4 linked regions of the Saccharomyces cerevisiae S288C genome follow. The protein of the gene in region 2 interacts with the protein of the main gene of each other region in a biochemical or structural test. Each region holds a gene or a part of one and is shown on either strand. Other genes may lie near its edges. The genes, in order: PLP2, FRK1, YOL107W and YAP3.

Evidence for each region.
Region 1: of the proteins of FRK1 (region 2) and PLP2, one has a biochemical effect on the other in vitro, tested with the Saccharomyces cerevisiae proteins (one large-scale study listed by BioGRID).
Region 3: of the proteins of FRK1 (region 2) and YOL107W, one has a biochemical effect on the other in vitro, tested with the Saccharomyces cerevisiae proteins (one large-scale study listed by BioGRID).
Region 4: of the proteins of FRK1 (region 2) and YAP3, one has a biochemical effect on the other in vitro, tested with the Saccharomyces cerevisiae proteins (one large-scale study listed by BioGRID).

The regions. Positions count from the first base shown.
Region 1 is NC_001147.6:843,922-849,838, forward strand, and holds PLP2 (Plp2p), read right to left. Parts: upstream 3,209-5,917; coding exon 2,348-3,208; downstream 1-2,347. Other genes in the region: RFM1 (Rfm1p), read right to left, coding at 1-709; FSH3 (putative serine hydrolase), read right to left, coding at 1,071-1,871; YOR283W (phosphoglycerate mutase), read left to right, coding at 3,532-4,224; HUA2 (Hua2p), read left to right, coding at 4,557-5,288; thiosulfate sulfurtransferase RDL1, read left to right, coding at 5,714-5,917. UniProt on the Saccharomyces cerevisiae protein: Essential for cell growth. Inhibits early G-protein signaling events following pheromone stimulation. Inhibits the folding activity of the chaperonin-containing T-complex (CCT) CCT2 which leads to inhibition of cytoskeletal actin folding.
Region 2 is NC_001148.4:282,371-289,933, forward strand, and holds FRK1 (protein kinase FRK1), read right to left. Parts: upstream 3,692-7,563; coding exon 1,094-3,691; downstream 1-1,093. Other genes in the region: 60S ribosomal protein eL33 RPL33A, read left to right, coding at 296-600; putative mitogen-activated protein kinase kinase MKK2, read right to left, coding at 5,144-6,664; UME1 (Ume1p), read right to left, coding at 7,299-7,563. UniProt on the Saccharomyces cerevisiae protein: Putative serine/threonine-protein kinase that may be involved in rRNA transcription and ribosome biogenesis.
Region 3 is NC_001147.6:108,739-115,044, reverse strand, and holds YOL107W (uncharacterized protein), read right to left. Parts: upstream 2,944-6,306; coding exon 1,915-2,943; downstream 1-1,914. Other genes in the region: WSC3 (Wsc3p), read left to right, coding at 1-907; INO4 (Ino4p), read left to right, coding at 3,159-3,614; ZEO1 (Zeo1p), read right to left, coding at 4,407-4,748; SHR5 (Shr5p), read right to left, coding at 5,156-5,869; MDY2 (Mdy2p), read left to right, coding at 6,149-6,306. UniProt on the Saccharomyces cerevisiae protein: May play a role in retrograde transport of proteins from the Golgi to the endoplasmic reticulum.
Region 4 is NC_001140.6:82,150-88,142, forward strand, and holds YAP3 (Yap3p), read right to left. Parts: upstream 2,912-5,993; coding exon 1,919-2,911; downstream 1-1,918. Other genes in the region: ETP1 (Etp1p), read right to left, coding at 1-1,572; YHL009W-A (gag protein), read left to right, coding at 3,760-5,001. UniProt on the Saccharomyces cerevisiae protein: Transcription activator involved in the regulation of genes expressed in response to environmental changes.

The sequences.
Region 1 (5,917 bases), on a different chromosome or scaffold from region 2:
ATAGGTCTTGGATTTTGGTCTCCCCTTCATCTCCGTCATGTCCGTCGCCTTCTTCATCTTCTTCTGACCCCAGTCTAGACTGTGAACGTCTTTTGTCTCTTTCTGATATCCTTGATGATCTCCTTCTAATACCATCCCTTTCAGTTATATCTGAAGCAATGTCAATATTTTCCACTTCTGATATTGGAATTGGAAATGGCAATTCACTTCCATTTATTTCAGAAATAGTAACATCATCATTGTTTGCATTCGCTTCACTAATTGAGGGTAAAGATGCTGGTAGACTATTTTCTCTTTGAATAGCTCGAGATCTCGTACGTCTTCTTCGACTGGCAGCACCAGTAGTTGTAGGAGTGTTCTCACCTGAATATTCTGTATCGCTGATATCAGCTGATGAGTTTGATCTAGTAGAAGAGGAGGAGGAGGATGTGTTGCGAGGGATTGGTTCGCCGACTTCTTGTGTAGAGTTCCTCTTGATTTTCTTGTAGTATATTCCATATTCTTTATTTCTTAAACTGTCAATATCCACATGGCCACTTGCAGATATTCCTTTTTTGAACGTTTTTATCAGGAAATAATCCTGATACGATTCAAACTCCAAGGGTTTAATGGATTTATTAAAGTCTTTTATTTCATTTATTAACCTCCTCTTATCATTGATTAAACTTTGCAAATCACTATTTTTTATGATTTCCGTATTTGTACTCATTCGCACTTTCTTATAACACCTTCCTGTTGTTCTAATTAAATTCTTTTAATTAAAATTAATAGTTATTTTATATGCAATGTCTTATGATCACTTCTAGCTGTCAGTGTTCCTAGGATAGTGTTCAACAGCGTTTAATATTAATATATTGAGATACTTCCGCCAGATAAAAGAAATCCTTACGTTAAATATATATCATTCGTGTGCCGCGAAAATTCTTTCTTTAGCAACAGATATAAATCAGGTATAGAAAATCAAACGTCAAAGAAGGCGGCAGAAAAGTCACACTATTCCTTTTTCTCGTCGATATTTTCAATAGTTTTATAAAAATTGTATGTAGCTCATATAAATATCAATTATCGAATTACAATTTACCCAAGGAATCGATCATATCTAACAAATCATCTTCCAATTGAGGTTTGTCAAATTGTTTCCGATCTACTTCAGGTTGGGCATTATGCTCTTGACCCTCTTTGCTAGTAATTCCTTGGATCCAATTGCAAACTTGGGATACGAATGGTTTCGAGTTTGGGACAAAATGGGCTCCAGGATGAACCAACAATGTCCTTTTGTTATCGGGCCATGACTCGTACAATGCCATGATTCTAGATTCTGCTACAACTTCATCTAACTCCCCCCTTACATGTAGAGAGGGCACCTGGATAATCCTATGATATTCTTTCTGGTAGGATTGATCTTCTAATTTGAATCCACTAAATGAAATAAAAAATTTTAAAGCGGGCTGTTGTTCATCAGTAAGATTTAATATTCTGTTAAAGTCAGTGACTAAGTAGCCCCCAAGACCTGCACCTTGGCTGAATCCAATGACACCATCAAATGGTCCATTTTCTAGCACGTAGTTACGTAAATAGTTAAACACCTTTTGATCTATTTGAAAGGAATTGAAAGATTCGGGATTTCTAAAGAACCACCCGTATACTTCATCACTAGTCGCTGAGGTGTTGAATTCCTTCGCAGCATCTCTACCCTTTTCTGACTCTGATTGGAATAACGCTTTTTTATCAATTGAATGTGGGGCGCAAGGATAGTATAAATCGTAACCTAACTTCTTCAAATTCTTTCGTAATCCTCCAGTCTTCGCAGAAAATATCTTATCGGATTGGACAAAACCATGTAGCATTAGAACTTTCTTCTTTTCACTCATAATAATAATTCTGGGGTTTGTGGTAGAATTCAGTTTGAAAATGCACCGAAGTAGAACAGATTACTTTCTGTATTACTGCATCCATAGTGTTCTTTATACGCACAACTAGAAAAAGTAAATTTCTATCCTCTGACAACAAAGCGAAAAAGTAGTAAAACTTGATACCAGACCATGCTCCATATGACGATTTAAAAGGTTTATTCTGTCAAGATGTGCCTGCTCGAACTTAATAAGGGGTTTTATTGTATCTGTATCCTAAGTATGCTTGACGGTAATTAAAGAGCTTTAATTGGTTGCCATGACAACGGCTCTTACTAAAATCCATGCTGCAGCGATGTTCAATCATACATACCGTAATCCTCGCGTAAACATTCAGAGAAGTACATGACAAAGTTTGCTGTTCTTTATATCTGTATATATTAAATAATGGGGATAGTGACACCACTTAGCCTGTAAATAAGGAATATTCGCACTATTTAGTCAAAAAATCCATCATCATCATCATTAATGTTGCCATCATCATTTCCACCTATGCCGACATTAAATTTTCCTCTAATACCTGACCTGATCGATTTTTTTTCACCGTAATGCAATTTTCTCTCTTCCCTGGATTCTTCATCGTCTCGGTTCATTATCAGTCTGTTGTCTCCTTCTGCAACAGCGCCAACTTTTACCATAAAATCTTCAAAGTCTTCCATCTTGGAATTATTACCACCCAGTTCTAGTAGCGTTATCATGTTTTTGATTACCTCACCCCGGTAATATACAATTAATGTCGGGCAATTGGATTCGGGATAGTTTTCAATTGCTCTATTGGCAGGTATTTCTACAAATTTTATTTCTCTGAATTTGCATGCAGCAGATTGGAAAAGATGAGACAGAATTCTGCTTTGTAGTTTACTTTGAAGCGAGAGATGAACGAATACGTAGACACCACCGTCATCCTCTTCACCATTGTCATTGGTTTGTGCACCTTCATATTTCTTTCCCTGACTGGCCAAAGTAACCTCTTTGTTGTATTCAGGTTTGTTAATGTGGAAAACTTCTCCAAATTTGGAACGTTCCTGTAATTTGCGGATTTCATTTAATCTTTTGATCTTGTAAGCTTCCAAGAAATCTTCATCTTCATCGTCTTCTAGTTCTTCCAAATCCGACAAGTCTTTATCTTCTAGTCTATTTTCATGCTGCTTGGCAATTGCTTCTTCTAATGCTTCTTCTAACTTTGCAGTGGGCGAAGGTGCACGTTCTGGTATTACACCCTTCGCTCTTAAAATATCGTTCCATTCACTGTCTTCAGATTCGTCCACCTGGACCTGAAACATTGGTTCATTCTGCATTATGTCTGCTGAATATGCCTTTCTTCTCAGTGATGTTTACTCGAAGGCGTTATCTTGTACTGCAGATTTCTTCAGGTCGATCATATAACCTTTTCTTTTTTTCCTCTAGCGGGATTTCCTCTTTTTTCAGTAATTTTTTTTCCAGCGATATTAATACAATGGGAAAATCAGGTCGTCACAATATTACTTAATTCTTTTTTGAATTGTAGAACATAAAGTATTGCTTTATTCATTCTGGTTCGAATTAGTCTCATACTGTAAGATCAAAGCGGCAACGAAGCTCGAAGCTATACAAGCACCCAAAAATATATTTATACCCAAGAATGACTAAGGAAGTACCATATTATTGCGATAATGACGATAACAACATCATCAGATTATTCATTATTAGGCATGGACAAACAGAACACAATGTAAAAAAAATTTTGCAAGGTCACAAAGATACCTCGATCAATCCTACGGGAGAAGAACAAGCCACTAAATTGGGGCATTACTTGCGTTCAAGAGGTATTCATTTTGATAAGGTTGTCAGTAGTGATTTAAAAAGGTGTAGGCAAACTACGGCTTTAGTTTTGAAACATTCAAAACAAGAAAATGTGCCTACTTCCTATACTTCGGGGTTAAGGGAGCGTTATATGGGTGTTATTGAAGGTATGCAGATTACTGAGGCTGAAAAGTATGCTGATAAACATGGTGAAGGCTCCTTTAGAAATTTTGGGGAAAAAAGTGACGATTTTGTTGCTAGGTTAACTGGATGTGTCGAAGAAGAAGTTGCTGAAGCATCTAATGAAGGTGTCAAGAATCTAGCCCTAGTTAGTCATGGAGGTGCTATCAGAATGATTTTACAATGGTTAAAGTATGAAAATCATCAAGCTCATAAGATCATTGTTTTCAACACCTCTGTCACTATAGTTGATTACGTCAAGGACTCCAAGCAGTTTATTGTGAGACGTGTCGGAAACACCCAACATCTTGGTGATGGCGAATTTGTCGTCAGTGACTTAAGATTACGTTAGACACTATATGGTTATTCACTGTTGGGTTTTTCTCATTTTGTATTAGAAATGCGGTTTAGGTAGTAATAGAAATTTCGCATGCGTGTATTTTATTTTAAAACATATAGTTCGTAAGGGTTTATCTAAATGCAGTAGATGTTCATAAATTATAGGGGTTTTATGTTTTTATATTATTGATATAGTTTTTCACATGAGATGAGAACGACGCGTTTATTTTAAAGGAAAGAAAACTGTGTCGTAATATGTAACAAGACTACATTGATACTCCATAGCAGAGAAATGGATATGTTCTGTCGGTGGTAAATTCAGGTGAATTGTATATCAGTGAAACTATGCAACAAACAAAATTTGGCAAGATGTATTTGGACCACGATTCGGTAGTTGAGTACTCAGAAGATGAAATTGTCGAAGCCGATCGTATTACATTGGGCTATAAAAAGAGATTGTCAATGATTGAAAATCAAATGCGACATCTTTTGGAGGATTTTAGTTTGGACGTTCAGCAGATTGAACCCATTCTTGCCGACTTGCAGAAGTACTACGACGCGTTTCTACAACTTTTACAGAAAAGGAACAAATCATTACAATGTAAGAGGTCCACTCACCAGCCGGTCCCATCCCCAATGAATAGCCAGACATCAACAAATGCAAAGGTTAATTTGAGCGGAAAGCTTATGAAGTTTCAGCTAAATAGTGTACAAAAGTTCGACGAAGAAAATATACTAAGGATTCTGCAAAATAAAATAGAATTCGAACATTATTTCCAAATTGATAAAGGTAAGAAGCAAAAGGTGCTATTACTTGCCGTATATCAATGCCTCAATGGGCCAACACGTTTGCATAAAGTGCTTAATATTGAGGGAATTATACATAATAATAGTATCAGAACTATACTGGGCAAACAAGTGTCCAGTTCTAAGTGGACAGTGTTTCTGTACGATGTAAAACTAGTTTTATTGGCGCATAGACAAGATGTTCCGAACTTAGAAACTAGCAAGATGATCGTCAGATATGGTGATTTATTTCCCTGTGCATTGTACTTCAAAGATCATACAGCATACTAAGCGCTTTCCAGGGACACCTTCTGTCGCAAAATATCAGAATTTTTCTTGATTAAACGCAGCATATTGAGTATATGAAATTAACGGGACACTGTGTGAAAAATTTGTAGTTGTACTTTTTTGTTATCCCCTTTGGTAGACATATGGACGAATTACTACTAAGATTGGCTTCCATAAGGCCCAAATCCAGATATCACCTACGGTATGTCCTTTTCCTACTTGCAATGACAAATAATTTGTTATTTATCTTGGAACCTATATAAGTTACATCTGATTGCTTTTGTATTTTTTTTGGAGAATATTATTACCCGCGGGGAAGGAAGTAAGGGGAGAATTTTTGAGGTGTATAAAAGAGAGTGGAGGCTTAATCAATCAAAGAATTCTTTCTCGTTTATTTTCAGGGTTTGTGACTAAGAAACGATATTAAAATGTGGAAGGCCGTGATGAATGCTTGGAATGGAACCGAGAGTCAAAGTAAGAATGTTTCAAATATTCAATCTTACAGTTTTGAAGACATGAAAAGAATCGTTGGAAAGCATGATCCTAATGTGGTTTTGGTAGATGTTAGAGAACCATCTGAGTACTCGATTGTTCATATTCCTGCTTCCATCAATGTGCCATATAGATCGCAC
Region 2 (7,563 bases):
ACTATATCTAAGTTTTATCTTTATAATAAAAGAGTCTACTATCGTTTCTGGGTAACTTATAAAATAATTTGCAGTATCGAAATTTACGAGATCACATTTACCATCGATATCCAATTTGACTGTTAAAAGCTCTAAATTATGGCATTCTTCGACAATGGAGAAGCCTAAGCTTGATGATGAAGTCGCATAACTCTTCGATAATACAGAATTTGCTAGCTCAATAATAACCACCATCTAAGATGATCATTAAATACTAACATTTTGTTTTGGGATTTTATTCCTTTTTTTTTTTTAGTGTACGTCAAAGGTAAGCACTTATCCTACCAAAGATCCAAGAGAGTCAACAACCCAAATGTCTCTTTGATCAAGATCGAAGGTGTCGCTACTCCACAAGATGCTCAATTTTACTTGGGTAAGCGTATTGCCTACGTCTACAGAGCCTCCAAGGAAGTCAGGGGTTCTAAGATTAGAGTTATGTGGGGTAAGGTTACCAGAACTCACGGTAACTCTGGTGTCGTTAGAGCCACCTTCAGAAACAATTTGCCAGCCAAGACCTTCGGTGCTTCTGTTAGAATCTTCTTGTACCCATCCAACATCTAAATTTGTTGATTGTATAAGTACTCTATTAAACATCGTTATTTTCTCTTTTATTACTATTAATATTATTATATTTTGAGAATAGAAAAGACTAATATATATATAGTATAATTTTTAAAATTAATTCCGTACAAAAGGCAAAAGAAATTGTCTTCTTACTTAAAATGTCTGCGAATCTCGCTGTAAGCGCAGTGAAACAATGTTCCCGCTTAGAAGACGTGATTCAAGCGGAGTGAAGCTATGATTGATAATAAGTAACAATTTAGAAAAATTTTTGATGTTTTTAGTAATGCAAAATATATATGGTAGGTATATGCATATATATGCTCAATGTTTATTAGATTGAAATTTCATAAAGTATATTATAACATTATTTTGTTGGTCTGGCAAATCGCAAAATTTTAGCGACAGACATTTTAAATGGAAAAATTGCAGATAGTACTGATTTTTTCATATGATAAGTGGATATTATTGTCAAATGAGATAGGTATTATCTCTAGATTTTCATACTTCTTCTTTTGAAAAACCCTAATACTCTTTTTGCGGTTGAATGTTCTGGACTTTGGGCTGCTTTATTGTCTACGCTTGCCTTGTTGACCTCAGATACCATTATGGAGGACCTGTTGCTTCGGACCGCTTTTTTAGTTTCTAAAGTACATTTATTTTGCACCATCGTTGGTGCAGGCAGGTCTTTTGAGACTTGATGGGATGTTTGCATATTTGAAGCAGTGATATAATGATTCTTTGAATTTGTTTGATAACTGTCATCCTTTTTTGGGCGTCTTTGGGAAGGTGGAGAAGGTTTCCGTTTGGAATCCATTGATGAGTATAAACTAGATTTGGAAGTATCATAAGAGTACAAGGAAAGAAAGCTAAATCTTTTCTTTGTTGACTCTGCTTCGTTAAGTGATCTTTCTAGATGGTTATTGACGTGTTTTTGTGCTGTAGCTTTCGCGATGTTGCTACTTTTACTACCCTTTTCACTTGTGTCCTCCGTTTTCGCCTTATCAATTGATTCTTGTCCTTCATGTTGTTGAAGAGGAGATTCTGGTGGCCTCAATTCATCAGACTCTTCGGTGACCGTATCGCATGAGATGTCACTGAATATGCCGCTATATCTCAAACTTTTGCGCTTCTGTTTGTATTTTTCATCATAGATTCTCGTTACTACATCAGCGTCCCTCTTATACTTGATCAAGTCACCAGATACGCTTTGCAAATCAACAGAGGGTTTTGCTACTGAAAATTGGCCGTGCGTAATTAACTTTGGAGAGCTTTCGATGGAAGAGGATGAGGTTATGCATGTATCTAGGGCAAGGTATGGTGTGGAATCAAATGGGGATGTGTCTCTTTGATTCAGCGTTTGTGATGAAGCGCTACTTTTAGCTTTTTCGTTGATCTCATATATGGAGAGCGTATTTGAATTGTAGGGAGGTGTTGTGTATGAGCCAGGATGGTATGAAGTTGGCCGTGGCTTTGTATGGGATGAGGAAGACGTACGGTAGAAATTTTTAGCAGATTGGAGACTATTTTGGGTCTTATTTTTATTGTATTGATGATTTTGTGATGAAGCCATGTTATTTGGTTGAATCTTGCTTGTTTGCATTGTGGTAGACGACTCTTCTTCTAAACTTGGTACAATACTACTCCCAGAAATTGTATTTCTTTTAATAGGTGTGGTTTCGATTATAATATCGCCTGGACTTATGGCTGGTGGAGGTGAAAGACTGGCAGTCATGTTTCCCGTAGTTTGTCTAATGTTTTGTACTGGGGATAATGATTGTTCATGACTTAACACATATTCCCTATCTGCGTTCACCACTGCCTGCAAGGCAACGGATGCAGCAGAGTTACTTCTATTGTGCCTATTAGATCTTCTTATAGGTGACAGCCGCTGGTCAGATGCAATAGAAGCCGGTCTGGTTATAATATGATTTTGTGATTCTTGAGGCGGAGCCGGGAAAGTAATTAAAGTTGAATCAATGACCAGTGAATCCCTTTTATCACTCCTTGAGCCAAGAGATGAGGTAGAACAACTGGATTGTGGTCTAGATCCATATCTTCTTCTTGGTTTTGCTAATCTGAACACGGATTGAGTATTGTTTAGTTTGTCCCACTCATCAGGTGTTATGGATAAGAATGAAGAATGAGGCTTTAGCCATTCATGTTTCTTGATCTGTTTCAGGTTTATTCTTTTCTTTGGGTCTGAGACCAGCATGCGTCTTAATAAGTCCCGAGGTATAGGAAGAATATAATCAGGGAACTTTAATGGTGTGGAGTTAATATAATTATAAAGTCTTCCTATATCGCTGCCTTCAGGATTATTTGGATCATCATCCCACGGTAAATATCCAGCTAGTATAGCGTAAAGTATAACTCCACATGACCATATATCTGCTTTTCTAGCTTCGTATGGTTCGGCGCTTATCACTAGTTCAGGCGCTGCGTAGCATGGAGAGCCACATGACGTCTTCATTAATTCGTTTCGTGAGCAAAACTCATTGACAAACCCAAAATCTGTAATAACTAGGTTCTCATTCTTGTCTAGTAATAGATTTTCCAATTTGAGATCTCTGTGAACAAGTCCCTTAGAATGTATGTAATGTACTCCACTTATTAGCTGAGAAAATAACCTGCATGCATTCATTTCCTTAAGCCTCCTTTTTTTTTGAATATATTTATAGAATTCTCCCCCGCATGCGTACTCTAGGACAATACCAATGTACCTAGAATTTTGCAACACTTCTTCTAATTTTACGATATTCGGATGTGATAAGTGTTTTAAGGCGTTGATTTCTCTGTATATTTTAACTTCTTTCCTGTAATCATTCGATATGCTATCACGTTTGATAAGTTTAATTGCTACTTGTTTTGGGAAGTCAAAAGTTGAATTAGAGCTGTTTGAAAAATTCTTTGGCCAGCCTAGCTTCACTTTTCCGAACTCTCCTTCTCCTAACGTCGACCCTAGGATATAAGGACCAAACGTTACATGTTTCCGCCTTTGCTCATCTGTTCTTTGAGGGTACTGAAATGTGTCAGACAAATCGTTGGTAAACCCTCCGTAGTATGTATGACGTTTATTGGTGTACGACATTAAATTTTTGGCACTCTAAATCAGTATATAGAAGTAATGGCCAATTGAATATTGAACGCCGCTTGGCTCGCCTTTCTTGTATTGTGGATGGGTAAAAAAAATAGCGATTATTGTTAGGTTTAATTAGCAATCAAAAAATTCTCGCAAACACGTCACAAGAAACAAATTAATGCAAAATGTGGCACAGTCAAAAAACTGCGAAAATGTGTTAAAGATGAAAAGAACCGTGATCAGCAACAGCAGTGTACCAGATTTTGTGATCTGATTTATTATAGATTTACTCGATGACCTGAACTTGAATTATATTTAAATCGATGAAGGGGTTGAAACAGGTGTTGATCTGGGTTTCAGAATTTTTCTCTTGTTTACCTTTTTTGCTGTTCTACACTCATTCTTTCGATTGTTTTCAATTGCTTTTTTAGGAAGTGCGGCTTTGTTTACATAAAAGGTGTGCGGCATTTTAATGCAATATGAAATTTAAAAGTATATGTAACGATAGCACTATTATTTAGGGTTCCTGAAATGATATACTTTATGGATAGACATTATCTGTTCATTGAGTATACAGTAGGGGCTAAACCTTCTTTTAAGGGAGTAAAAAAGATGGATATGCATTACGTCGGCCACATGACATTAATTGTGCAGGTTCAGCTGATGTATAGGCTGAAGAGGCTACGCTTGCTAATTTATAATGCCATTTACTAACCTAAGGAGAATAGAATCTCCCATAGAGTGAGTATGTTGTGATTAAAGAGATATGGTTTCATCTTTACTCGAGTCCATTTTCTTTATTTTTTTAATGGTAAGAGGATGAGTATAGCAAAAACGGTCAAGAGACAGCAGTAAGTGTCGTCGTAACTAGAACAAATAGGCCTTATAACAGAAATCATAAGGGTTGTCCCGTGGTCGGAGCCCTTGTCGGAACTAAAGAAAATCAGGCAATATAGAGGATATTTTCTACGTACAAAACGCTTATTGTATTTATAGCTCCAGTTACTGAAGTGGTAACTTAAGTAAGCAATAAGTATGTTAAAACCCTTTTATTTTTCTGAGTCGAGCAGATTTTTGTTCGACCGTTGTATATAGGATAATATGACGCCATATGATTTTTTCCTCTTTGGTAGGGAGGGAAGAAATTTTCCCCGCGCGGCTGAGTACAAAAGCGCCTAGTACTCACTTGAGTCATAATTTAGCACATCATAGCGTGCCTGCCAGAAAGACTTGGATGCGCATTTCTATTTGATGTAAGTAAGGAAATAGGAGAACTTTCATAGCCCATGGCTAGTTCGGTTTTCAGTAAACTATATACGTATATGTTAAGAATATTTCGGAGTGTCTAGATAATAAAAGAACATCGTTAAACTTATGAATGGTGAAGGAGGAGAAGTCTCGTTAAAGAATTCCTGTTGTAGAAAAAGTCAGTTCTGGTTACGAGAGGAAAATGTTGGAAGTTTATATCCCATCCTTTTCCTTTTCCCAGCATTTCTTTACAAACCGTTCCATGTTGACTTTTTTTTTCATTTGCCCTACAATCCAGGGATGCTTTAACATTTGCCTGGGAGAAGGCCTCTCTCTGGCATCTTTTTTTAAACAATAGTCGATAAAAGATCTAAATGTCTTGCTCCAGGATATGTCTAGTTCTGGCTCATCTTTCAACTGGGGAGAAAACGTCAGGATCATCGTCAATAATTCTATAGGAGCCACGTTTTGCGTTATTTTGTCAGATTCAAATGGAAATCTCCCTCCAGCAACCTCCAGAAGAGTTAATCCTAAGGACCATACATCACAGGTTACGCTGTATGGTTGGCCTTGTATTCGTTCTGGGGCCATATAAAATGACGTTCCAGTAAATGTCATCGCTAAAGAGTTAACAGCCTCCCCACTGACACCGAAATCGCATAATTTGATTTCCCCTTTTTCATTAAGAAGAATGTTTTGGGGTTTAATGTCCCTGTGGATGACTTTCCTTTCGTGTAAGTATGATAAACCTCTTAAGACAGATTCTGCTATCTTTCCTATCACCCTCTCACTTATTCTACCGCCACGTTTCAACAAATTTTTATACGTTGCCTCCAGTGATTTTCCTCCCATATATTCCATGGCAATGTATATTGAAGAACTCTGTTCGTCGGTAAACATACCATAGTACTGCACAATATAATCGGACTTAAAACTCTTATTAAATTGTAGCTCTCTGAATATTTGCTTTTGATATTCTGGGTCAGTATTCATAGTGTTGATTGTCTTCAACGCAAAAACCTTTTTTCCATTTTTTAATCGGCACTTGGCTACAGAACCACCCGCGCCTTCTCCTAGAATTCCTAGTGTAGTAATCTCATCCTTGAGATGCCCAAACCTCCATGCTTCTTCCTCTAACTGGTCTACGTCTTTTCCTTGTATTAAGTTGGAACAAGAAATTATGTTATTTGCACTTAAAGGGGCGGAGTTGCTCCCGCTACTGCTGAAGTCGTACGCAGAAAGAAGTGTCGAGGGGTATGAATCCTCGCCTTCTGGTGTGTCGAGATCTTTCTTGATAAAAGTGGTATCTATGTTGGATAACTTAGTGGAAATTGGAGCACTAGATAGTAGTTCCTTGTAAGTTATATCAACATGCAAATTAGAAAATCTTTCAGAAAGCTGACTATCGCCGGCAACTCTATATTCTATACCGTCTTTTTTTTGCGTTAGTACTAGGGGAGGTAATGGAGGTGGTACCGGTCTATTTTTAATAGTTGTAGTAGATGATCTATTGTACAACAAAGTGGAATTTGAAGCCATGGATGACGTAGTGGAAGTAGCTGAAGTGCTATTGTTGGAGTATGGGCTTTCGTTCACTGACGAGTACGGTGACCGGTTGAGATGTTGCCCATCATTAGTGGATTTCGCATTTTGAACTAAATTTACTGGAAGCGTTAATTTTGGAGTCTTTTGGTGACTCCTATTGGATTCTGGTGGTCTGAACATTGAAGCCATTATCCTGTGTATATAATTGGTATTTTGTAGATATGATAACAGTGCCTGCTATGCTAATCAGGTAATACTTGCTACTAGTAAAATGTCTAATTTTTTGAGCGAACGAATTTCATGCAAATTAGAAGGTAGCCAACATATAAATATATGAATATATATGTGCCTACGTGTTTGATGAGGTTTTCAGTAAAATTAAGCGGAAAGTATTGAGCTTTCCCAACTGATCCCTTTGATTTATTCTCTTTCTAATTCTTCAACTCTAAGGATAAAGTTTATTTCTTTTTGATTTTTTTTCGCATTGAGAAAGTGAACATAAACAAGGGTAAAATAGGCTCAATATCAGTTCACCTTTGAGAGTCTGGCAATAAGAGATGTGGTTCTAAGGTTACCTTATACATTCTAAACTCTGAAAACGCGTTTTCAAAGGTATGTACATTTCTCTATATTAAAGAGTAGATCCTTGCCGTTTATATATACATGTAGAGCAATTCTCAAGCTAATAATTAATGTTTACTTCAGACAATAAAACATTAAAAACAAATTTTTAGAAAAACAAAAGCTGAAGTAAAGACTAAATATTACACAATTTATTCATACATTTCCGCCCCAAACTCAAACAGCCTAAATAATATAAAAATTAACTTTTGGCAGCTCCAACCTCTCTACTGCCATCTAAAACTTTTCCAGTAAACGGCTTATATACAGTTAACAACCCGTCACTATCAACTGTAGCAACTAGATCCTCAATGTATTTGTGATAAGCAACGGTATTAACCTTATTATTTTCTCCTATTTCTCTTCTGCAGCCCTCAGTGTGATAAAATGCCATGCTTTCGGCCTCCAATTCGTCAGATATTATGCCTTGAAAGTCCTCATGTATCTCGTTATAAATGGCAAAAACA
Region 3 (6,306 bases), on a different chromosome or scaffold from region 2:
TACCTCTATCTTTTCTGTTACGTCTAGCTCCTCATCCATTACATTGTCCTCATCTGAGCATACCACAGTCGATAGCCGTACTTCTTCACCCTCTTCCACCTTGGTGCCAGTGTCCTCGAGTAGCAGCACACTATCAACTCCAAAAGTGACCTCAATGACCCCTAGTACGTCATCAACGATACCAATAGTTACCTCAGTGGAACTAGTGACTAGTGTGGTTACAAAAGCGATCGTGAGTACTTCTGATCAACATCAGGAAACAATATTTGTTACGAGGACATCCGTGGTTGAACGATCTTCTGAGGTAGCTACTGCTACTGCTGCCGCCTCAAATAATAGATCTAATTCGACTTCGAAGCAGCGTCTGAGTGGTGGAGCCATTGCCGGTATTGTTATTGGTGTTGTGTTTGGCGTAATTTTTATTATTTTGATTCTATTGTTCCTGATATGGAGGAGACGGAAATCGCACGACCAATTAGACTTGGAGGAAACGAAACATTATCAGCCCTATTCGTTCGGTGATGAGGATGCAAATCCAATAGGACCGCCTCCCTCCTCTGGTACGACAAATTGGATGAGACATTCAAGGGGTAATACAGCGGGTTCTATCGGTACAAGTAATATGTATGGTTTTTCTATGAGTAATGGTGCAAATTATAGTAGTCCTAGTTCAAACACCAGTGGAAGCATCATAAACAACTTGGCTGGCTTACAAGATGCTACGGTTCAGAAACAGAACCTTCCATCGACAGTTTTTGAAGAGGCAAATACTTTGAATAGTGCAAATGAAAGGTTCAGTGCCAATTCTTTACCCGACATGATGATGAGCGGACCATTGCAAGTGGTAAACCCTGATAATCCTGATAATCCTGAATTATCTAGTACCGTATCTCATAATCGAGCCTGAAAAACTCGCATAAACTCTCAACATTAATGGTAATCAACTGGTTCTGCTGGACGGAGCCATTCTAAATCATTAACTTTATAATATCATGTTTTATACCCTAATATTTAAACAATTTACTGCTTTTGGCACTTCAACTGTTAGAAAAAGAACAATAATATTTAGTATTTAGTTTCATTTTTAAATTTTCTGATTCACTTCATTTGCAGCTTCTAATGATGTTTGTGGTACAAAAATATAAACAATTTTAAAATATTAAAAAAAAATGCTTCCAATCGGATTTGAACCGATGATCTCCACATTACTAGTGTGGCGCCTTACCAACTTGGCCATAGAAGCTAAATCTCTGAAAGCTGCGCTCTTCAAAGGCGAACCAAGCAAGATAAATTAATATTATTATGTAAAACTATCGTTTTCCTTTTGTTGATTCCTATATCCCGGAGAAGAACTACTAATTATCAAATTATTCACCAAATGATCAAATTTAGCAGCGTAGTGAGTGCCACTATGTAGATGTTGGAATAAAAACCAACTATCGTCTATCAACTAGTAGTCATACTATCAATATATTATCATATACGGTGTTAGATAGTGACATAAGTTATTATAGAAGCTGTCACCGAAGTTAGAGGAAGCTGAAATGCAAGGATCGATAATGTAATAGGATAATGAAACATATGAAATGGAATGAGGAATAATCGTAATATTGGTACATAGAAATATAGATTCCATTATGGGGATTCCTATATCATCGAGGAGAACTTCTAGTACATTCTGTATACCTAATATTATAGCCTTTATCAACGATGGAATCCCAACAATTATTTCAAAATTCACCCATTTCTCAGTAGAATTATTAATATTGGGGAATATATGGGTTTCTATGGTTCGATAGTACTGGCGCACATTCAGCATACAAATCCTACTACCTTGGTAAAGACCGAAATGCCAACAGCCGTCATTAAATCACGATATAATAGAGCATATTTCAAGTTATATAGATCCATATATCAAGGGTTTACCATACGCTCTTCCAAAACTTGTAAAGCTAACTGTCTTCGTCTTTCTTCTACAGTCATAATTTTTTTGGCGCCTCTACTTTCTGCGATGGTGTTCCCAATATCTATATCAATATCATGAAAAGGTTTAATGACTTTAAATTTTACAACAACTACATTATAAATGAAATTGAAAATCGGCCTCAAAATCGGCTTAATTAGATCAGGAAAGAAGTAAATCAATTGAAAAGTATCAGATGCATCGCCGACCAATATTTCCTGACCACCTTGAGAATTAGTTGTTGGCAAAGAGGGACAATTCAAGGGTGCAAGTTTCTGGAAAAACCTCAAGTACGACCAACTGGCAAAAAAGGTAACCCAAATGGAGAACAATTGAGCAAAATGATGAAACCATATTATTTGGGTTACCGTCATTGTAAACATTACAAAAATGGGTAGTAATTTGAACCTAAAGTTTTTGGCCAAAAATTGAGGTGTCTTCAGATGGATTATAGTTGTTTCAGGCAATAACTGTCTATAAATGATAGGGAAACCGATTAAAATTGTGTAGTTCCCGTCTAAGGGAATATCCAGCCTTACCTTATTAGAGAAAAAAGATACTAACAAAGTCAGCATGATGATCAGAACGTTTGTAAGAGAACCTAAAACTATGATAAATTTGAACATTTCTTTGGAAGAGTTCCAATTGCGTTCAATGAAGGATCCACCAATGATCAAATTCAATAAGTTCACTACCACCTTCCAAGCTTTAGTGTCGATGAAGTTGGATAGAACTAATGAGGTGGGGTACCTCCAAATCTGCGAAGGTACCATTTGCAAAAGCGGCGAAGTAATCAAGTTGTAGTCCAAGTTAGGGTCTTCAAGAACTAGCTTGTTGTACAAGGATCTCCTTATACAGAAAAGGGTTGCAGTTAAGCATATATAAGTGACTGTAATAAATTTAGTAGCATCAGGAATCTTATTGATATTTAAAAATGAATCCGGGATATTCAATTCTAGGAACCTCGAACTATATTGCATTATAGTGAACAAATATCTTTGTTATAAATAGATTAGTCGTCTTCTTTTTCTTGGCTTGGTTTGTATGAGCTTGTTACGTATCAAACAAAATATTCACATGTTTTTCTCACCTTAAAGACAGAGGCGCGATTGCGTTTGCGAAATTCCAATGCCAACAAGATAAGCTTGACGAAGGAGTTAAGAGGGCGGCTTGAACTAAAAAGAGAAAAGCAATAATGACGAACGATATTAAGGAGATACAAACAATACAGCCGGGATTGTCCGAGATTAAGGAGATAAAGGGTGAACTGGCTAATGTGAAGAAAAGGAAACGCAGGTCTAAGAAGATTAATAAATTGACTGATGGTCAAATACGTATAAATCATGTTTCGTCTGAAAAAAAAAGGAGAGAATTGGAAAGAGCTATATTTGACGAACTGGTAGCAGTAGTACCTGACCTGCAACCCCAGGAAAGTCGGTCAGAACTAATCATATACCTGAAAAGCTTGAGTTACTTAAGTTGGTTGTATGAAAGGAATGAAAAGCTGAGAAAACAAATCATAGCTAAGCATGAGGCAAAAACCGGCAGCAGCAGCAGCAGCGATCCCGTACAAGAACAAAATGGAAACATTCGGGATTTAGTACCGAAGGAGTTAATTTGGGAGCTGGGTGATGGACAGAGTGGTCAGTGATTCAAGGAGTAGGGTAAAGTAAGTAATATAAGCGAAGAAATTCTTCCCATACCTTTTCTTCACTTTGCAGAGGGGAGTGGTGCATATCCCACAAAGAAAAGTAGCAACAACAATGATATATATACGTTACTACTAATGCTTTCCTTCATCGAAAGTGTGCCGAAGTATTTATTTAATCTTTTAGTGTTCAACTTACTATAATGTGATACTTTTTCAATATTGTTTGCCGTTGAAGCGATAGTGCTTTATGTCATTTTATCTTTCTTTTACATTGTTTTATTTTAGAGCTAAAATTGAACATCAGTTTGCAAGAAGTCAGTTGGTTGGCCTTTGCTATTAAGAGACCATAATGTTATAGTGATTGAGATCAGTTTCACCAACTAATAACAATTAACCCGGGCGGTTAGTGTAGTGGTTATCATCCCACCCTTCCAAGGTGGGGACACGGGTTCGATTCTCGTACCGCTCATATTTTTACTTTCTTATCAAACTTTTTTTCCTCCGGGACGTGAAATAACCGCCGAGGTTATTCTCGGAGCATTCTTTTTTGTGGCTTTTGATCATCCATCATCATCATCATCATCATTATTACTACTACTACTACTACTACTATTATTATTATTATTATTATTATTATTAGTATTATTATTATTATATTGATTAGTTATTAGATAGATACAATTAAGAAAAATTTATGTAAAAGGTCAGAATAAACAGCATTTTTCTCCTCTTTTTTTATTTTTAAAAAAAGAAAAAGAAACTTCTAGTAAAGTGCAGCACATTCAAGTGTGATTAGTTGAAAATGGAAGCAATTTTACGGTTCAATTTCTTCAAGAAACCGCCTTCCTTCTTGGTTTCCTTCTTCTCACTGACGGCGGCGGAAGCTTGCTTCTTAGTTTCTTCAACTTTGTTGGCAGCTTCGGTCTTCTTTTGTTCGACACCATCAGCAATGTTTTGTTCTTCCTTCTTCACCTGTTCAGCTTCTGGAGTAGCTTCATTTTTTAGGTTGTCGATAGAAGCTTCAGCTTGTTCCTTTACTTCTTGGCCCTTGTTTTGCAAAGATTCTTTGGTTTCTTCCAACTTTTGTTGGACATCTTGGGCGGCAGTTTCAGCTTTGTTTTGAATTTCAGACATTATTAATTGATATAAACGTAGTTTTGTATGTTTCTTTGATTTGAACTTTTAAGTATACAGAGAAAAAAACCGATCAAAGAAAACTAAAGTATAATGAGGTTAAAAACGAAAGTAATAAAGTAGAAAGGCTATCAAGCAAACTGAGATGATCTTCGACGTAAAAACTCGCTCTATATATATACGCCATATAAGCCCATCGGCGATGGGGGACAACACGAAGAAACAAGAGAAGAGGAGAACCGCACAGAAAGCAGCAGAAACAGAGCAAACCAGCATTAACTAAAGATGATAAAAATAAAATTAGGTAAGAAACCTTAATTGGATATACAAAAATACACTGGAGGCACAAATCGCCATCGATATAAAACACGATAAAGCCCTGGTGCACCCATAAACCACACGTTTAACTATTTGGGTCGGGGCACGACGAAATCTAGGGATAGGCACCCGGACCGTCGGGGCAATACTAGGCGCACACCGCGCTCGTGAAGCAGACCTCCCGGCGAGTTTAGCTGCGCCACGTACTGCTCTAACGCGAGAGACTCCTGAAACACAGGTCTAGAAAGAAGGGGCCCCAAAACCCAGCTCCACAGACCGCCCGTAAGCATATCGAGCAACAGGCCACTTAAGTTACGCCACCCGAACACCTCACCTTCTTCACGCAGCAAGAATCCGTTTACCCGGTGCACAACCTCCGCGAGCTCTGCCGCACTAAGATATTCTGACAGAGGCGAGACGGAGGAGCAGCCAAACACGTGATCCCCAATGTCGTAACGCCCGCACCGCACAAAGCTAGTGCCATCGTCGCCCACGATTGCCGCCGGCTCGCTACCGGGAAGCTGTGTACTAAATTGTGGCGTTTCAAGGCTGCTGCGAGACTCATCGAACCGCCGGGGCACTCGTACCACCCGGGTCACCTGGAACTCGGCAGAGCCCCGAGCAGCATACACATTCGGGAAATGTGTAATACACAATTTGTGGTCTTCGTCGTGCTCTGTGGGTTTAGCGTCTTCGGAACCGAGGTCTTCGTAGAATGAATACGAAAACTCATGGTAATTAAAAAATAACGCCCTTTCGCTCGTATTTGCGTTATCTTCTTCCTTTTGATGGCTATCGCACATCTAGTAAGGGTTAGATTGAGTATTGTCCTCTAATGTAACTTTTTCCTCTTATTCCTCTCCTCCCCTTAGCTATTATATATCTTTTTTACCGAATCTTGAATTAGGAATAGTTTTAAAATCAGGCCGGAGGCCGAGCTTGCGACAACTACGACCAAAAAAAACAAAGGAAAAACGAAAAGAAGAAAACATGCACAGGAGAACATAGTTGGAGAAAAGGGTTAGAACAGACCGATACAGAGATAAACTAGCGAAGAATAATAACTTTATACAAAATTAATCATGAGCACATCCGCCAGCGGTCCAGAACACGAGTTCGTTAGTAAATTCTTGACCTTAGCCACTTTAACTGAACCGAAGCTACCAAAAAGCTATACTAAACCTCTGAAGGATGTTACCAATTTGGGTGTCCCGTTGCCTACTTTGAAGTATAAATATAA
Region 4 (5,993 bases), on a different chromosome or scaffold from region 2:
TTCTAACGCTTTGTTTTCTCGCTCTAACTGCTCTTGTTTTTTTGATAAGTGATCTAGGTTCGCTTGTAGTCCTTCGATTACTAACATATCTTCCTCAAGCTTAGATTTCTGGGCCATTTCCCTTTTCTGCCACTCCTTTTGAGTGACCTGAAATTGGAGTTTCAAATCTTCCATAGACTTCTTCAAACTTTCAACATTCGAAGAATCAGACGCAGTTTGATCTTTTTCTTGTAATTTCAGTTCATAATATTCTCTTTGAGACTCTAATTGAGATATTAGGACTTGCACATATTCTAGATGATACTCCCTATGCCTTAAAAAATTTGCCGCCAGCTCGCCATCTTTTTTATTAGAGTTCGATTTCTCACCGTTTTTGCTCCTGTTCCCGTAAACAACATTTTGTAGTTCATCGGAGTTGCCTATATCATTGTTGTCATCGTCACCGGAGCCGCCGACCTCTACTAACTTCCCATCAACTTCATTTTGAACTAGGCGATGGACATAATTATCACCCGCATAATCCCACACTCTTTGTGTCCGTATATCCATCGCAAAACAATGTAAAGTTTCTTCATAATGCTTGATTGCGTGTTTGGAATTGTAACGACCGCATCCAACATTACCGCAGATCAAGCAAATCCATAGATTATCAGTGGAACCACATGTTGCACAATGTGCGGAATCACCTGCCTGTTTCAATAATGATTCCCTGCTTAGCCGCAGACTTGAATGTCGACACACTGGACACCTTGAATTCTTCCACTTATTTAAGCATTGGCAATGAAAAGTGTGCTGGCACGGGATCGTTACTAATCCAGTAGTTTCTGAATCCATTCTTTCAAGGCAAACGGGACATGTGGGGAGTTCGACTTTTACCAGTTCCTTTTTTTTCTTAACAGTGAATGGATCAGTAAGCAGATAGGGGAAGTCCTCGTTAGCGGCTGGTCTTTGGAAGAGCTTTTTTTGAAAAACTATTTCTTTTACAGAGATCACATGGCATGTTTCGGGATCCATCCTGCTGAAACTTTTGCCATTGAACTCTTCCTTGAAATTTTTCGCATCAAGTGCATTCCTGAATTTAATTAAGACCGTGAAATTAAAACCCATTCCCTTCTGCTGATTTCGTAATATACGAAAGTTTGAAACTTGCTTATTAACAATATCATCACCAATATAAAAATGCAATAAATCGTGAACGGTAAAATAAGTTGGAACAAACAGGATACATATCATAGTATCATCTCCCGGGATAGTCAAAATCTCCTTCTCATTAAGAGTATTATTGGCATTGCTTAGCTTGAATAGCCTTATTATCCCATGGCCTAAGTATTGTGAAGTAATCAAATCACTTTCCTCTTCTTTTGATGTTTGATTTTTGAAATCAGTTATCATGTCTATTTCCAAGTCACAGACTCTCCAATCCTGCCAGTCTTGATTATTACTTTTAATACTTTCTTCCCCGATACTTTTTGCCTTCAACTTTTTCGGAATACTCTTGAAAATTTGATAAGCGGATTCAACCTGATTTTGGTTTCCAAATTCTAAAGTAATGATATACTCAAATTGATCCATAGATGTGAGGGCCAACCAGAAAGTAATACATTCAATGCTACTATTCCGTTATTGCCTCTATGTGTTTTCCTTTGAACTTTTACTTAATCCGCGGGTGAAATTTCATTTTTATATTTTCCATTTTATAACAGGCCGTCCCCTAAAAACACCGCGTAAGAACATAGTTTATACACTTATATAAGTAAAAGGTGTAGTAGGTTGGAATGGTAAAGGGCGTATTGTGTGTCAATTATGCGATGAAAATGTATACTTCGAAGTCAATAAAAAAAGAACCTGGTTTGCCTCATGAAGATGTTGCCTGCCCTTTCTTATTTAGTGTTTGTAAGTTATTTTTGTCAAAGTCTATTCATTCATTCAAAGTAGCTTCCTCCACTAGAAAATCGATTAAACTTCTTGGATACGCAGGTCCATGGGTATGACAACATTCTTGTCCTTGCAATTTGCTCATAACGTATGTCACATCAAAGTCCCTCTCTTCTGAAAGTTTGTAAAGATACTCCCAGGTGGCGGGGACTGTTAGTACATGTCTTCCTGCTTCGTCAGTATACTGGGTATTTCGCTTCATAATTTCATTATCCTTTAGCGAATACTTGCCTTTGTGATTCAGTTTGCTTTCCAGGACCATAGAGGTAAAAAATTCATCTTTCGTTGGGAAAGAATATTTGTAGTTGGTATCATCTTCTATGTCCTTTGAAAAATTTTCATTACCACTCCGCAGTAGCAGTCTGTTCTCTGCGTTGATTTCAGTATTTGCCTTTCTTAGTTCCTCAATTTCTTTCAATAAACTTTGGCGGTTCCTTTCACTTTCTAACAATTTATCTTGTAATTCTTTCATTCTGGCTTCTTTTCTCTCTCTGAAGGCTTTTTGGGCGGCTCTGTTTTGAGCCTTTTTCTTTGCCTTAGAGTCATCTGGAACATTCTCATTATGAGCAACTGAGGGACTCCTCGAACTTGGAGATATACCATTATTTTTAGAAAAATAATTTGTATTACTATAACTATCATTATCATTATTATTGTTATCTGCCATAACATAGGTAGAGTAGTCGCCTGAAATAGGGGTTAGTTGAATTGCTTGAAGATCACTACCCTTAGGGAAAGATATGTTGTTCTGTAATAGCAAATCATTATTTGATCTGTCAAGGTTCAAAGCAGGACACTGGTCTTCCAAAATTGGGAAGGGTGCTGTTTGCTCGCTCAATAGGTCTGGTTGTTGTTTTATACATTTGCTATCTTCTTGGAATAGACTATTTCTGATACAACAATCCTCCTCTTGGCATTGAGGGTTAATAAATTTCATGAATCCGCTGGTATTATCATCCATATTAGAAGGCGTCATAACAATTGCTTCAGCCTTATTCTTCGTTAGTTTATACTGGAAGTAAAGCAAACACCTACTGCCCCTTTTATCGAAATGATAAACAAATAAGAAAGCTCAGAGGGCCTCCGGTAATATTCAAATCGATCTGTTTTATAATGCTTATTGAATAATAATGCCGTTGCTGTACTCTTAACATAAAGCTACGAAAATCCACTATACATTTTTCTAAAGAAAAAAAAAAAATTCAAAAAAAATTGATTTCGCCCAGGATCGAACTGGGGACGTTCTGCGTGTTAAGCAGATGCCATAACCGACTAGACCACGAAACCAAATTCTTATTGATTATGTTGTATTACGGGCTCGAGTAATACCGGAGTGTCTTGACAATCCTAATACAAACAGTCTTAGGGAAGTAACCAGTTGTCAAAACAGTTTATCAGATTAATTCACGGAATGTTACTTATCTTATATATATTATATAAAATATGAATCATACTGTTGGAACGAGAGTAATTGATAGTGACATGAGTTGCTATGGTAACAATCTAATGCTTACATCGTATATTAATGTACAACTCGTATACGTTTAAGTGTGATTGCGCCTATTGCAGAAGGAATGTTAAACGAGAAGCTCAGACAATACTGAAGCGGTGTTAAAGACCTATTAGTTGAACATGTTATGGTAGGTACATATATGAGGAATATGAGTCGTCACATCAATGTATAGTAACTACCGGAATCACTATTATATTGGTCATAATTAATATGACCAATCGGCGTGTGTTTTATATACCTCTCTTATTTAGTATAAGAAGATCAGTACTCACTTCTTCATTAATACTAATTTTTTACCTCTAATTATCAACATGGCGACCCCAGTGAGGGATGAAACAAGAAATGTTATTGACGACAACATTTCTGCGCGGATTCAATCGAAAGTCAAAACAAATGATACTGTCAGACAGACGCCATCATCATTAAGAAAAGTTTCTATTAAAGATGAACAGGTGAAACAATATCAAAGAAACTTAAATAGGTTTAAAACCATACTAAATGGTTTAAAGGCAGAAGAGGAAAAACTTTCTGAGACTGATGATATTCAGATGCTAGCTGAAAAATTATTAAAACTCGGAGAAACCATTGACAAGGTTGAGAATAGGATTGTGGATCTAGTTGAAAAGATACAATTATTGGAAACAAACGAGAACAATAATATATTACATGAACATATAGATGCTACAGGGACTTACTATTTATTCGATACGTTAACTTCAACCAACAAAAGATTCTACCCTAAGGATTGTGTTTTTGATTATAGGACTAATAATGTCGAGAACATTCCTATTCTCTTAAACAATTTTAAAAAATTCATCAAGAAATATCAATTTGATGATGTCTTTGAAAATGATATCATAGAAATCGATCCTCGTGAAAATGAAATCTTGTGCAAGATAATCAAAGAAGGACTCGGTGAAAGTTTAGATATCATGAACACAAATACAACTGACATTTTTAGGATAATCGATGGTTTAAAAAACAAATATAGAAGTTTACATGGTAGAGATGTCAGAATTAGAGCCTGGGAAAAGGTTTTGGTTGATACAACATGTAGAAATTCCGCATTGTTAATGAATAAACTTCAAAAGTTGGTACTAATGGAAAAATGGATTTTTTCTAAATGCTGCCAAGATTGTCCTAATCTAAAGGATTACCTACAAGAAGCTATCATGGGAACCTTACATGAATCCTTAAGAAATTCTGTGAAACAACGTTTGTACAACATTCCACATAACGTAGGAATTAATCACGAAGAATTTCTAATCAATACTGTTATTGAAACAGTAATTGATTTGAGCCCAATTGCAGACGATCAAATAGAAAATAGCTGCATGTATTGCAAATCTGTTTTCCATTGCTCAATTAACTGCAAAAAGAAACCAAATAGGGAACTTAGGCCTGACTCGACCAATTTCTCAAAAACCTATTATCTACAAGGTGCACAGAGACAACAACAACTTAAGTCCAGTGCAAAACGAACAAAAGTCTTGGAACAAGACACAAAAAAAGTCAAACAAAGTGTACAACAGCAAAAAACTGGTAATTATTGATACCGGTTCCGGCGTAAACATTACCAATGACAAAACCTTACTGCATAATTACGAAGACAGTAATCGCAGTACACGATTTTTTGGTATTGGGAAAAACAGTTCAGTGTCTGTTAAAGGGTATGGCTATATAAAAATCAAGAATGGTCACAACAATACTGACAATAAGTGTTTATTGACTTACTATGTACCGGAAGAAGAATCCACTATAATCAGCTGTTATGACTTAGCCAAGAAAACCAAAATGGTTTTAAGTCGAAAATATACCAGATTGGGAAACAAAATCATAAAAATTAAAACCAAGATAGTTAATGGTGTCATTCACGTAAAAATGAACGAGTTAATTGAACGTCCTTCCGATGATTCAAAAATAAATGCAATAAAACCTACTTCTTCTCCTGGATTTAAACTAAATAAAAGGTCTATTACCTTGGAAGATGCTCATAAAAGAATGGGCCATACAGGAATTCAACAAATTGAAAATTCCATAAAACATAATCATTATGAAGAATCCCTTGACTTAATCAAAGAACCAAATGAATTTTGGTGTCAAACCTGTAAAATCTCTAAAGCCACGAAAAGAAATCATTATACCGGGTCTATGAATAATCATAGTACTGATCATGAACCAGGATCATCATGGTGCATGGATATATTTGGCCCTGTATCAAGTTCAAACGCGGACACTAAAAGGTACATGCTTATTATGGTGGATAACAACACGAGATATTGCATGACCTCCACACACTTCAATAAGAATGCTGAAACTATTTTAGCTCAAATCAGAAAGAATATTCAGTACGTGGAAACACAATTTGACAGGAAAGTCAGAGAAATTAATTCAGACAGAGGTACTGAATTCACAAATGATCAGATAGAAGAATATTTTATTTCAAAAGGAATACATCACATACTTACTTCTACACAAGATCATGCTGCTAATGGAAGAGCAGAAAGATACATCAGAACAATAGTAACTGATGCAACAACACTCC